Linked DNA regions of Oreochromis niloticus. The protein of the gene in region 2 interacts with the protein of the main gene of each other region in a pairwise test. Links are inferred from orthologs where the notes say so. Each region holds a gene or a part of one and is shown on either strand. Other genes may lie near its edges.

What was found.
Region 1: the proteins of atxn1a (region 2) and plekhn1 interact in binary tests that used the Homo sapiens proteins (3 or more experiments, as listed by UniProt). The link is inferred for Oreochromis niloticus from reciprocal best matches to the Homo sapiens genes ATXN1 and PLEKHN1.

The regions. Positions count from the first base shown.
Region 1 is NC_031984.2:21,800,102-21,807,661, reverse strand, and holds the start of plekhn1 (pleckstrin homology domain-containing family N member 1), read right to left. Parts: upstream 3,012-7,560; 5' UTR 3,002-3,011; intron 2,736-3,001; 5' UTR 2,621-2,735; coding exon 2,547-2,620; intron 892-2,546; coding exon 801-891; intron 632-800; coding exon 470-631; intron 1-469. UniProt on the Homo sapiens protein: Controls the stability of the leptin mRNA harboring an AU-rich element (ARE) in its 3' UTR, in cooperation with the RNA stabilizer ELAVL1.
Region 2 is NC_031985.2:20,491,303-20,499,146, forward strand, and holds the start of atxn1a (ataxin-1a), read right to left. Parts: upstream 3,006-7,844; 5' UTR 2,743-3,005; intron 1-2,742. UniProt on the Homo sapiens protein: Chromatin-binding factor that repress Notch signaling in the absence of Notch intracellular domain by acting as a CBF1 corepressor. Binds to the HEY promoter and might assist, along with NCOR2, RBPJ-mediated repression. Binds RNA in vitro.

The DNA of each region.
Region 1 (7,560 bases), on a different chromosome or scaffold from region 2:
ACAAACTGCAGTTCCCACCGTGAGGAGCCAGCCTCTATCTGTGCCTGGAATCAGACACACTCTCTCTGTACCCTGAGGTTTTCTCATGAAGCTGTTTCACAACCACAGCCTATGCAAGCATGTCCAAACACAGGCTGCGGTTCTCTTTTTGGAAAACGGATTGGATCATTCGCAGCCAACCAGTGCGTCAAAGCCAGCAGCGAGTTTCATTGTGTTTGGTGGCTGCAGAGCCACATCCTGTTACTCTCCACCTGTTTTGTTTTTTTGTTTTTTCGGCTTCTGACACTCACTGGGTTCCCACAGGGATGACTGGCATGGTGTGTCACCATAGGCTTGGCCATTGTTGGAGATGACTTTAGCCGCAACGGGGATTTTGTAGTGTGATCTTTGTTTTCTTTTACAGCTGTGTTCCTGACATTGCGACACACGGTCATTTAAAAAAAAAAAAAAGGTGCTTTGCTGCGCTCACCTGGCAGTGGAGGAAGCGGAAACGAACTTTGGAGCTGTGAATCATCCGTCCATAATTCTTCACATTGATGCTGCTCTTCTTCCAGCCACTGATCGGGTCGTAAGCAAACGGAGGATCCCATTTGATGTTTTCTATCGTCTGCAGATCTTTAGGGGACATTTCCTGCAACCACCAAGTCACAATATTAGTTCGGGCATGTCAGTAGTAAAGCAGTCAGACCTGAATTTAAAGTCAGAAAGTTTGGCACAGGGGTTGAAAACCACAGCCGAGCAGTTCTGCTTGGCATGTAGATGAATGACGTTATGTTTTCGGAGCTGATGGAGGTACGTACCTTCCTCGGGGTGACAGTGCAGAGGATATTTATGATGCTGTTGGACTTCTCCTGTCCCTCTTGGGGATTATACTTGCGAAACAAGCGACTGCTGTCATGAGAAAGGAAAGCTATGTGTTAATACTCACTCTCCAGTGTTTACCACCTAATCCATGTTTAGCTGTTTGGTTTATTTCCCAATCTAACTTCACGCCTATAGAGATTCCAATATTGTCTCCTATGTATAGTTAGTGAAATAACCTAAATCTAATGTTTGTTATAGCAAAGCTTTTCATTCCAAAGTCCCACTTTAGTTTAAATCACGTTGTCTGCCTCCTAAATCAATCAGCATCCCTATGCCTGGCTCCCACTCTATCAGTGCCAGTCCTTTAAATGATAAGAACAACTGAGTCTTGTGTTTGTGATAGCGAGGATATCCACAGGGAAAAATCAGCATTCAATGTCTCTCTTTGTTTTGCATGACCCTCATCTATTACCATTTGTGTCACATCTTCACGAGGAAGCTCCCTCACTGCAAAGATAAGGCTTTAGAGACTGCTTTTACAGCTTCCGCTAGTAGTTTATCTGCTTATCTGTACATATGTGTGCCAGTGTCCTCAGTTTAACAACGCCGGCTTTTGTTTTTATGCTGGGAATCAAGGGTTGTCCGTCCAGGAAGTCCATGAGCAGAATTAATTATTTATTAGTGCCTATTGAACAATAAAATAATAAAATTTTGTAAAATGCATTTATGCACAGTGAAAAAATATAATGGTCCTGCATTGTGATGTAATCTGCAACTGCAAGGTGACAGGGGAATGTGTTGTAGATAATAGACAGGTAGTGGACTCGCACACCCAACATTCTCCAAGTCACTGCTGTGGCATTCAGCACCACTCACTCCCCTTTTCTTCAGGGAATACCTGAGCCTGGCCTGATTCTCCAACACAAAGAGGTTGTACGGTAACAGAAAACAGAAACACTGACTGTATTGTTCGTCCTGATCCAATGATCCTGCCTGGAAGGTGTATCACTGTCCAAGTTTGAGCCGCTGAGCTTTTGAAACCAACTGTCTTTTTAGGGTCGCACTGCTCATCCTTTTATTTAAAAAACTTTAAAGCTACATGAGATGTTTAACCAAACTACATCCTGAATCGTTAGTCAGAAGATGAAGAATAGAAGCAGAGGTGAATTAGAACCAGATGTGATGGTCTAGCAAGGCTGAATCAAGGGTAACATGCCCAGGCATATAATCCTGGGGGATTAAAAGAAAACCAGGTAGAAAACCAAGTGTAAGCCAGCCATCTCCATAGTCACGTAGTCATGTACTAACTTAGCAGACTAAACCTTATCATTTAAGAATAACAGCTCAAAATCAATCATGTTAATACTCAAGTCTGGATTGTTTTTTGGATTGTTCCCTCTTTTGGAGGGAAAACAGAGTAATCGACAGCTGGCAGATCATCTTCACAGAGATGCAAAGAGGAGGCAAATGGTAACTGGATCATTGACACCGTTGGCCAGACAGATAGGCTGCTCAGGCACGACTCCGGGACTATTCTGTATTATGATCCTGAACCTGGCCCCACAAAATGCACAACCTCTGTGTAACCCCACTTCTCAAACCCTCAAGAAATACCAAGAATACCTTCCGGTTGAAAGCCAGTGTCTAAAATAACAATCTGCTGTCAAGGGCATGACATGTGCTCTGTTTGCACACCGACACAAGTACAGTATGAGCACCCGGAGAGACTGAATAGTTCTTACCTGTTTCTGCGTATGAAACTCTTGCTGGAGAATCTGAAGTTGTGCTGGGGGACACATGACATACTGCTCCCCATGCTGCTTTCCTGTGTCGGGGTCTGCGCCTCTGTGTAGATACGCTGTAAAGTCCCTCTGTGATGGATGAGTCTAATCCAGACGAGTGCTGCGCTCACTGCTGAAGTCAGACTTGTACTGAGGCAGAAGGAGGCAGGGTGAAGAGTCACTACTGTGTGTGAGTAAAAGGGGGTGGAGTTTGGGGCTGTGTCACAACAGGCTGTGTGTGTGTGTGTGTGTGTGTGTGTGTGTGTGTGTGTGCTCGGTGAATAAGGACACAGACTCCCCCGACTTGCCCTGTCTGCTAAATCAATCCCAACAACAAAGCCAACAGGAGGGGGTTCAAGGAGAAGTGTGCCATTTCACACCTTCCTGGAGCCAAATGGAGCTCATTGTTGGCTCACCGCTGCAATAACTGGCCACTAAACACACTGGATGGTGTGTGTCAATCACAGGGGAAGATGGGAACTTCTGCTGGCATGTCCAGACATGAAAATGCCTCCACACTTAAGTATTCTATTTATTACTGCAAGGTAAGTATCTGTGAGCTTTTGGTTAGTAGATTGTATATAAAACACAGCACAGAGTTTAAAAAGGGTCAAAACATCACTGTTAACCCCAAAGAGGGGAAAATGTCTGGCGTCACATTGTTTTCAGAGCACGGATATATGAAATATGATATTTTCTTATCCTGCGATACAAGCAGAGGAAACAGGATGCTTGTGAATTCAACCACCGAAATTTTCATATAAGGCAAGAGGTGTATGCAAACACATCTTGTTTGCGTTTTAGGAGGATGTTCCCAAATTAAATATCCACTACCTAAAAGTAAGAGTCACTCTAAGAAGTTATTCGGGATTAATAGGTCTGAACACCCATATCTGGTTAAAGGTGTCATGTCAATTCCCAGGTTTCCAACTTCCTGAACAAGCGGCCTTATCAGTCAGACAACGGAGCCCAAAACTCATGATCACGCTCTGTTTGCTCATTGATTAGATCATTGTCTGTGCTGAGCTGCTGCACTAGTGTCATAAATTTTAAGCGCACGCTGCGGTCTGTCAGTTGATCCCAGCCTGTTCAACCAGTTGTTTAAACGGATACACCTGAGGCGCTAACAGTCATCAGCCTCCAAACTATGCCATCTTTCTCACTGCGTTATAATGTTCTCTGAAACCCCGTTTGAGGGCTCGAGTAATTTAATCAGCAGTGGAAGTGAATATAAAGCGTCTCGGTAAGCGGCAGACGACAGAATTGAGACCAGATAAGAGGGGGGATCGAGATAAGCAAAAACCCAAGCAAAAAGAGAGGAAGAAAGGCTGAATGTGGCTGTTGCCAGGCAAATTTTTCTTAAGAGTATCATGAAATAATAATAATAACTTATACTATAATGATATGTAAGGTTTATAATAAACATGTGATTCCTTTTAGAATATATCTAACTTTTTAAATTTAAAATAATGCTAGTGAGCAAATGATAATGTACCGGTAGCAGTATGTATTTATTAGCAGTGTTATTTACTTTTTGTTGTTTTTACCCACATTTAAAAACTTATTTCAGCTGCTCCCTTATTCACAAGGTGACAACACAGCACATGGACCCACTTATTATATTTTGTTTTTACTCCGGATCCCCTTCCTGACAAATCTCTGTGATTTGTGTCTCCTCCTGGTTTCAGCACCGGAGACCTTTCATGTGTTGCTACATTTTTACCTTCAGTTCAACCAAAACAAAAGATCACCAAAGACAGGGTCTGAAGATGTCACAGATATTTTACTCAGTAATCAAGCAGACTGGAGTTTTAACATTTATTTTTACTTTTCAGGTCTGGCTGTGGATCATCATGGAAAAAGCAGGAAGATGAATTTGATAATTCACACACGCAGCCAGAAGTGACTCACACTCATAGTCATAATATTACAAAGGAAAAATGAAACAGGGAATTTTCCCTGTGAGATAAATCCACTTTAAGTTGCTTTGGTCAGTCAGGTGCCTCATCACGCATGCTTTTTATCAATAATAAGTTTTCCCAGATATTTCACCATCTAGTACAGAAACAGGTTGTATGAGACAGAACCCAGAGATGATAGACAAGTGCTCTAAATCTGCCCCAAACACACACTGATAATTCAGGTCGAACCTACATTTTATGGCATAAATGCTGTTTGTAGTATTTCTAAATCTCACCATGACTTTTCTGGAAAAATGGTGGTAAAAAGATATTCAAGCTTCCCAATCTTGGGCTCCCGAAGTACTGGCAAAATTGATCCTTAACTGTGGAAGCCTGAATATAGTTACTAAATATACAAGTTTTTGGATAGGCTGGAAGCACAAAAGTCAAATATGTAAATATCCATATTTACAGTTTAACTCATGTAGTTAGGCCACCTTTTAAAGATGCCTAATGTTCTGCCTTGGATCAAAGCTGTGGCCAGACTTCCCCCCCCATTAGCGATAAAGCGAACACAGAACAAACAAGCCACACATTAGCTGGAGTGAAAATTTCTGTTCCTGGCGTGTTTTGCAATCCTGTGTGGTCACTAAAAGTACCTACACCTTTTCAACAACAGGAATGGGCGAGCCGCATCTCATCATGTTTGCAACAGACACCAGCGATCCAAGAACGGCTCATTATGCATCGTTTGGTCAGGCGTTATACACCGCTACTTTCCTTTGTGTGACATCATGAATACCTTTAAGCAACTGCTGTTCCAAAATGTGCGCTGTTATATTCATTGTAATGCTTATTGTCTCTGTAAAGGTGGCGTTTTAAACTCCTGTGTTATCCTTGAACAACGTATGTGACCAGGAAGCTTGTAGTAACACAGGACTTTCCTGAGCCTACAGCACAGAGACTACAGAAGCATTATAACTCTCCTACAGGTAATTTAACATTACTCAATAGGAAGAGGAAATACTTGGAACTATGTCAAAAACAAGACCTATCTGGAAGTCAGTTTCTTTATTCTGACTCATGGATCACATTTTCCAAACAAGTCCGCTATACACGGCAATTTCCAAACAGTTTCTATTGAAATTAACGACTTTGTTTCCATTTTCCAAATATAGTGCAGTCAAAAGCTATTTGACAGCACTCTTTCCTGATTTCTTTCTTTATGCATATTTGTCACACTTACATGTTTCCAGTCATCAAACGAAACAAAAAAACCTGAGTAAACACAAAAAAATATGAAATTACAATTTCATTTATTAAGAGGGAAAAGTTATCCAAACCTACCCAGCCATGTGTGAAAAGTTTAATCATGATTTTAAAAAGTTAAATCACGGGTTAGCTCTAAATAAGTCACATTTTTTGGAAAGCTGAGTTTAATTTCACTAAACACACTCAGGCCTGATTACTGCCAGAGTTATCGAATCAAGAAATCACTTAAATAGAAGTTGTCTGACAAAATAAAGTACCCTAAAAGACCTCAAAAAGCAACAAATAACAGCATGATCTAAAGAAACAGCTGAGAGACAAAGTCACTGATGTCTCTCAGTCCAGAAAGGGTTACAGAGCCATTTCTAAGGCTTTGGGACTCCAGCAAACCACAGTGAGAGCCATTAGCCACAAATGGAGAAAACATGGCACAATGATGAAGCTTCCCAGCAGTAGTCAGCCTACCAAAATGATTCCACAAACACATCGACAACACATCCAATGGAGTGACAAAAGAACTGCAGCCTCATTTGCCTCAATTAAGAGTTCATAATAAGAACATTATAAGAAAATGAGAAGGAGACCAGGCAAAAATGGCATCCATGGAGAAAACCACTGCTGCCTAAGAAGAACACAAAGGCTCGTCTCAGATTTACCTAAAAAATATCTTGATGAAAATATCCAAGACTTCAAACTTTTTGGAAGGTTTGACTTCTGTTACATGTGACATAAAACTAACACAGCATTTCATAAAAAGACCATCATACAGATGGTCAAACATGGTGGTGGCAGTGTGATAGTCTGGGGTTGCTTTGGTGCTTGACCTGCTGTAATTGATGGAGCCATGAATTCTGCTCTCTACCAGAAAATCCTGAAGGAGGATGTCCGACCATCAGTTCATGCCTCGAAGCTCAATCTCATTTGAGTTATGCAGAAGTGCAATGATCCAAAACAGCAGCAAGCCTACCTACACAAAAAATAAATAAATAAAATAAATAAGGCGGTTTTGGAGTAGCCTATTCAATGGCCGGACTTATATCAGACTGAGATTGTTTGACAGGATCTTAAACAGGCCGTTCATGCTCCAACACCCTCCATTGTGGCTGAATTAAAACAATTCTGCAAAGAGGAGTGAGCCAGAATTCTTCCACGGTGATGTGAAAGATTCACTGGCAGTTAAGATAAGATAAGATAAGATAACCTTTATTAGTCCCACACGTGGGAAATTTGTTTTGTCACAGCAAGAAGTGGACAGTGCAAAAGTTCTGAAGCAAAAATTAGAATACAATAAGAATAAATACAGTACACAACTGTACAGAATAGAATAAAATAAAAATAAAATACTATATACAGTAGAATAAAATATACAATAGGATAAATATAGAATACAAATGCTATATACAACGTTATGACAAACGCTTGATTGTAGTTCTTGCTGCCAAATTTGGCGCAACCTGTTATTAGGTTTTAGGGGGAAATAACTTTTTTACACGTGAATTTCAAAATGAATGAAGTCATCATTTTAAATAAGCATTTACTTGGGTTTTTGATTTTTAAATTTGTTCAGTGATCTGAAACATATAAGTGTGACAAATACGCCAAAATAAAACCCAGGAAGGGAGCAAATACTTTTTCACAACACTGTATATCACGCTCCCTCCATCTGTGGTAGGTTGAACTGTGTTTCTCCCACAGAAGTCACTCGTTGGTGTTTACCCAGTCTCAGCGGGTGAGAGCAGCAGTGCTAAAGTCACACCTCAGGCCACTAAAACGGAGCCTGGATGTGAGGCCCCCAACGTCAGGTG
Region 2 (7,844 bases):
CTCTACCTAAATCACTACAACAGCCTCTCCTTACCTCCCTATCTTCACTCTCTACCCTTTACATTAACACCTCCCTTCTGCTCAAGCATTCATAACGCATCTATCTCCCAGCCTGTTTTCACACCTGAACACCAGAGTCTGGAGAATCAGGTGAGCACACTGGCAGCAGTTGCTCATTTTCACAGGTAGCACAGAGCAGGAGACAGACCCGTTCATAAGCGTTCTTACCACCAGAAACATTCTGCGTGGTTCGGGCAAAGCTGCTGCCTGTGGAACGTGCAGGAGACGGGACAAAAGGCAACCAGTTGCTCGCGCTGCACGCTGTCAGCCATCATACAGCGGTGGATATTTGCGTGCTAAAAATGCACCGCGGTGGATTAACATCTATAAAGCTTCAGTCATGAACAGTTCCTGGACGCCTCTAGTCGACCTCGCTAGCAGAGAAATTTATTTCCATTAAAAAGACCTTTCCATGGCATCCCACAGGGATTAACACCGGATCCCAATCACTTCATTATCCACATCCTTCCCATCATTATACATGAATCCATCCCTTGTTAAAGATTTGAAGCTCAGCTGTGTGTTTCCGAGTACCTCTTGGATACGACCCCTTCCTCTCTTCTCCAACCTGCTGTATTTAATACCAGTCACACATAAAAAATACATAATGGTTTCAGTATGGTTAATAAAGACTTAATGGCCATGTTGTTAAGTGCAAATACAACAGCCAATCACAAGCCACCAACTCAATGCGTTGATATGCGTGCTTAAAAGGGTCTGACCGAATACCAGTACCTAAAAAAATGGCTGGCCAGTGTCGGTTATGTATTTTTTTACAGAAGAGAGACAAAAGTCAAACTAGTGAGCATTTTTTCTTCACACTTTTCCTGCTGTCTTTCTGAATAAATAAACAATCCGAATTATTTATTATTAAACATTAAAAGGTATTAAAAAGTAACTCCACACTGATCTCTGAATACTTTTCCACACCATGTACCACATGAAGGTGTTTCTAAATGTGTGTTTCACTGCACTGAAACAAATGTTGGAAGAGCTTGTATATGGGATTTATGGCAACCACGGGATCAGATTTCTTTCAGTACTTGGATAACAACAATCATGGGCAGTGCAGATAAAATCTGAAACATGTGTTTACAGGCAAGAGTCAAAGCAAGCAAGGAATTTAATTAATGGGTCACTCATACATTTGTGCTCGCATCCTCCACGGAGGACAGAAGTACTTGAACTAGCGACAGCACTAATAGATATGTCCAACACCATAAAAGTACTAACATCGGAGCCGACGGGCTGCACTGACTCTATAGGTTCACTCTGCAAGTGTTTGCTAACACACAGTGGCTGCAAGTGAGTGAATTACAAGAACCATGGAATAAAACAGAAAGTGTGTTTGGGGTTTTTTTTATTGAAAGCTGCAGATTCAAATTTGTTGGTGTTGTAATATTTTATATTTCTTTCAGTAACACGTTTAAAAAGTAGCAAAACAAGTCTTTTAGATAGAAAGCAAGTTTAACCACGATCACAGCTATCTGCTGAGATATCTGTGTGTTGAAAGCACTCTATGGGGTGTCCAGTCATTCATTGCTTAAGGCTACAGGACGGGCTTCAAAGATGAGAAATGACATAATCAACAAGTAATGCAAACCCACTTCTGTTTTTTCGTGTTTTTCCTATAAATTGCACAGACATCATCAGAAAAGAGGAACACTTAAGCATGCAGCTGGTGGAAAGAAGTGCAGCTTTTTTCTTTCTTTTTCTTTTTTTAATCTTGAGCATTCACTTTGTCAATCAGTCTGCTGCCATTAGGAATGCTCGTTAAAAAATTATAGTGCGAGTGAAAGCATTGGCTACCACTTGGGACGCATAGCCTACCCTGCTCTGAGGTGTAAACAGAGTAAAAATAGCTTGCTATCACAGGCTTCCCTACAGTCCCGTTATATAATGGTCCATGCTAGGATGAATGACATCACGGGTAGTCCTGCAATCACAAACCGTATGTCCTTTACAACCAGCTGACAATGTAAAACACTGTGTAGTATTACGTGCGCAACAATAAATGCTTCCTACTAATCGAAACATGCAAAACACCTGCGGTTACGCTTTTTTTTAAATTGTAGAAATCATGTGGACTGTGGTTAGTAGTTCGCCTCCTTTCGTGTGGAGAAAACACTTCCGCGATAGTGAAACGTAGATTTAAAAAAAATGTAACGCTTTCCCGTGACAGTCCCTGTCAGTAAGGCAAGAGTTCAGAAGAAGACGTATGCGGCCCGAAGCGACATTATTCGGACATGTCCGACAAAGAAATAGTCTGCAAAGAGGAAATGTTTTGAGCCGAGGTCGAGTGGCGCAGTTACTGGAAGTACAGCGCCTGCCCGACTCCCAACTCACCCGGCGGACGCGCTCCTCGCTCGGTCAGAATCCAGCCGAACCTCCGCCCCTCTTTCGTCCCATTTAAACAACACTTTGCGTTCACGTTCCCAAATGACAAGTATACCCACCCACAGCCCGCGTGGCCGTGTACTGTGTGGTCACTTAAAAATAGGTCAGAGTGCGAAGTAAACATTTTCTAAGGCTTTGAAGTAAACCAGAGCTTCAGCGCCACCCTTCCCAGTTCTTCCAGCCATTTTTTTTAATTTAGCCAGCTCCAAAAGAGAAGAGTGACAACGTGAAAGCGGTGACAGGTTGGCGAAAGCGGCTCTGTGGAAATAGTTTTGTGCGACTTACTGCGGGGTGTAGCGGGCTGCTGAGTTTGTGTCTCTCCTTGTTGCCAGGGCTCCCCTGCTCTGCTCCGGCGCTGACGGTGGAAAGCGTCTCCCCTCCTAATGATGTCTGCAGCGCTCGGCTAATAGCTCTCTGCCCCCACCTTCAGAGAGAGAGAGAGAGAGAGCGAGGGAGGGAGGGCGAGAGAGAAGTTCAAAACTGGAGCAGTTTGTAAACTACTCATGCAAAAATATGAGAGCTCGGAGCACAGAAAGCAGTCACAGAGATACAAGAGAGGTTCGCTGACAGTGCCAGAGTGTGGGAATACACAGTATTCCTTTATTGGCACGATTGTTTTACTCACAGTGGAGATTGGGCTGCTTTTTCAGGAGCAAATGCAAAAGCGCGCTGTGGGAGAGGAAGAATGGTTAATATTAATATTATTATTTCTTTTTAACTCAGCCTCACTCAAAAAGTGGCTTCTCAGCAGTGTAAACACTTTATCTACAATACAACCCTGCACAGCTCAACACTGAGTTTATATAACTCAAGTAAAATTCTGAGGCATTTATACTTAAAGCTTAAAATAAGGGGGTCTCGACAAATATGGATCTATTAATCAATACTTCCGTGTCAAAATGATCCCACACTGCTTCAATAATGTTGACTGATTGTCCTCCATTGTTTGTTTTTTCTAACCAGGTATGTATTTATTGCATTGGCAGTGTGTTTGGGATCACTGTCATGATGAGAAATGAAGCTGTTGCCAACCAGCTGATTTTCAAATGGTATTGCTTGGTGGAATAAAATCTGATGGCACTTTCCCTTCTCTCAGAATGACTCCTTGACAGCCTCCCGTCCACGGAGACCATTTCTGATGAGGCTTTAGTGAACAGTAAATGGATCAGCTGAAGGGCCCATTCCTTAAGGACAGACTGTTCATCTGCTGTAGATTGTTTTTAGGCCTGACACTTCTTCTTTTGTCCACCGCCTGCCCAGTTTCCTCAGATTTTTTTCAAGGACACAGTGCACACCATTTCAAGACATGCCAGATTTTCAGCAAATAGCTCTTCGAGGTGTAAAAATACTGTTTCCTGTCTGTCACACTTTGTTAGCTTAGGTATTTTTCATAGATTCAACAAAAGAAATGGGAACAAATTATGTGTTTTTCCAGCAGCCTGCTAGTAACAAAGTGCCTAGAGACAGAATTTAACGTTTAATTCATAGGTCAGTGTTAAGTGCGTACAAGGACTGAAAATGAGTAAAAACAAAAAAGCAGCCAGTATCTAATGTGGCTCATAACTTTTGCACAGCGCTGGCCAAAAACATTTTTACAAAGTCGTAGTGGCCTTGACCTTTTCCACCTAAAGCTAATCCTTTCATCCCTCAGTGCATGTGAACTTCTGTGCCAGACGTCCAGAGACACCGCCTTCACATAGAGAGGAAGGACAGATGGACAGCCAGAAAACAGGATGCCTCGTAGCATAGCTGTCACCAGCAAGGAGGCATAACGAGTCATAAAGTAGATCCACCTCCACTGGCTAAAATATCAAAAGGCTGCAGGTCACTGCTTCAACCATTTAAATCTAATAATGTCATATGTATTATGTAAAACATATGTAATTATAATGTGACACGTTGTGCACTTTTCCTGTGCTTTTGGTTAGTATATTGGTACATCTGTGTATTATGTAATCTAGTGTTACTAATTTGAATAGATGATATTTTTTATTAGCCCATGCAGGGGAACAAAAGTGTCACAGCAGCAAAACAAAGTACATAAAGTGTGATAAATGAAGAAGAGAACATAAAAGTTAATGAATATTATCTGAACACAAGCCACAAAGCATATTAGGAGTCTGAATGAATAAATATAACACGCAGCACGCCTGTGGATCCTGGATGCAATTTAGCAAAAACTCAAGATTCACTTCAGATATTTGTTCTTATTGTTTATGGTACGAGGTCAGTCCTGTTTTCAGTGTGACTTGCTGCAAAAAAACATGTCATCCTTGGATTTGACTGCACCGGGAAACTTCTGCTTTTTCTCAGAAGAGAAGAAGGTCAGGGTATGTTTTTTTTTTAAAGCCAGAGAGTTCAGGATCTGTTCAGCTGAAGGCAGTCACTGACAGTCAGCTGACAGTGACATGATGGAACGTCTCAGCTGCCGACAGCGACTGTTTTCACATACACACGCATAGCTACAAACATAAACACAATGATGGAGTGATGCTAGAAAACATGCTTATGAAAGATGTTTATGCACTCGTGTCCCGATTAACTCTAATTCACTTTAAGGGGGCTAAATTCAATTCGCTCTAGTTCAAAGTTAATTATTATCAGTTATAATCATGCGTAAAGCATGTGTCAAATAAGCACAAAAACTAAGCTGTGCCACTGAAATAAGCTATCAAGATAAAAGAAATAAACACCCGCTTAACCCTCTCCTCTTTTTTGTGTTTTTATTATCTTGACCTCTGTGACCTCTCCCAGATTTCCAATGTGACAACAAGTGCCTTTGCCTCTTCGTCAGAGGAGAATGCAACCTGACACTGCCCGAGAGCCGAAGGGTGCACGAGGCTGCGGAGTGACAGACGATCAGGGATCTGTCCCACTCCCTGCGAGTCACTCAATAAGTGGCCTATTGTCCAGCACTCTATTGTGCTCTTGTCACATGCATCCCAAACAAAGAGACAGAGAGGTAGGTTGCCCTGTGTGCTAGAGGGCTAGCATTACATTCATGAAGAGATGCGGCGAGTTGCTGAATGGACTTTGATATTTAAGTGTAGGCAGGGAATGAAGAGCTTCATTTAAAAAAAACTAAAAAAAACATTTAATATCCAGACCACATGTGTGCCATTTGATCCTGGAAGCCCTCGTAGTCCAAGTAGTGAGGGAAATAGTGCACTAACATGCAGAAGGCCATCAAAACTGTGGAAGTGATCTGCAACTTTGAGACATAAAGGAGACTTAAATACGTTGAGATTTGACTGATTGTTGTCATTACTACATCAGCCAGATGTGTGATATGTGCACTTTTGTGCTAACCTACCACCCATAATGCACCTCGTAGTTTCAGTTTCACGCCGTGTTGCTAAAATAGAACTTCCTATAATAACAAATGTGTAAGGCCAGAGTCAAGCGGAAGCAGTAAGTTGACCGCACGTTTCAAAATAGATCACCAGTTTAATAAAAATACTTCCTCAGTGTCTCTCGAGCTCACAGGCCTGCACATACGCAAGCATGTACTTGCACCTTCTTGTTCCCCTCTGCATGTACTCACAGGTTCACACCTACTCGCTCTTACAACGTGCCGATGTAATCTTTACATATAGGATGCTAAACATCTTCTGCAGACAGTTCAGCAGCCCTCTGTTTGACATTGCCTCCCTTTGAATGGTTTGCACCGTTCAGAGCACAACGTGACTCCATAGCAGTGTGTGTGTAGTGCAGGGCCATTGCGTGCTTGAGGAATAAATCAAAAACTACTCCCATGGGAGGAGCAGATTCTTCGAGGGTTGGGTTCCTCCCTAGAGATGTACCTGTGTTCTTTGTAGGAGGTGTGAACAGTATACACTCGGGTACAATGAAGTGTGCCAGGTGGGGCGTGTATGGAAACAGCCCTTGAACATAGAGAGTGACATCCTTAGTACCTGCATAGTAAATGAGTCATACATAAAAATAATAAGCTTTAACGTATTTCAGCTCCAAAACAGACAAAGTATGCACAAATAAGGGATTTGACAGTTTATCTGGCAGATAAATAAATAACACTCTGAGCTTAAAGCAGGCACTGAGGGAGATATATATAATTAATCATCACCAGTCTTTAAAGGCAGCTTTACAGCGATTTTCAAAGATTTTAATGGTCACGGACATTTCTTTTTTTGGACAGCAGAGAGTGACAGAGAAGCAGCGTGTCTGAAGTGCATGCTACTTTACACACTACAATCACCTATTGAGGGCTGCAGCTCTTCAGGCATCGTGGTATTGCATTTTCCTTATTTGTGTATGTGGACCTCTGCATCGTCGTGTCAGCTCTTCACATTCTCTGCAAAAAACCAATACAGACTTTTTTTTAGCAGAACAGCAGCGCTCCTCCTGTATGCTCTGAAAGCAGCTGTCACTTCAGATTTCAAGGCTGCGCTCTGTCCAAGTCCCCTCTCTGTGCACAGAGGGGAGGTGGTGTGTTTCATAGCTACTCACAGCTCCCCCCATTGTTCAAATGTGGAAGTGGTTATTGGTTTACAGTGTTTCCCTACATGCTGTCATGTCACATACTGCAGCATACAGTTGCGTAAATGCAGAATTATCCACAGCTTTGCTTGTAATTACACAAAATAAACACCTTTTAGACAATTTTGCTTTGTAACTAGTAAACTGGTTCCTGCATTTTTTCACATACATCCCACAATCCTGGTTAGGAGTGAGCTAAGATCCTCCTTCACAGTCACTTCCATTATTGCAATCATTTTTACATTACTTTAATGAAGTGTTGTGGAGTCTGGAAAATAATTATTTGATCCCCTGCTAAATTTCTAAGTTTGCTTACTTACAACAAAATGAACAGTCTCTAATCAACCAAAAATCGAGAAAAAAGACATGACATAAAAGGTTTGTCATTGAGTGAAAAAGTATTTGATCCACTACAACACTGCCAGAATTCTGGCTCCCACAGACTGACTATCAGTCAGTTACAGATACTCCCAATCTCAACCCATGACATGTATAAAGCAGGCTTGTCCACATTGTGGATTTCTTCCACTCGAACCTCTCCACCACCATGGAGAGGACCAAAGACCTGTTAAAGGACATCAGGGAGAAGATATCACACCTAGACAAGGCTTGAACGGGCTACAAGACCATCAGCAAGAAGCTTGTTGAGAAGGTGACGACTGTTGGTGCGATTATTCAGAGATGTAAGAAGTATAAAATGAATCAGTCAACGTTGATTTGGAGCTCCATGCAAGATCTCGCTTCATGGGATGGTCATGAGAAAGGTGGTGTGTTAGGCCAAAAATGCAGCTGGCACCACAGTCACCAAGAACACCATCAGTAACAGGCTACCCCATTACAGTGGGGAACTAATTACCCAGTATTTATCCTTTTATTATAGCTCTTATACT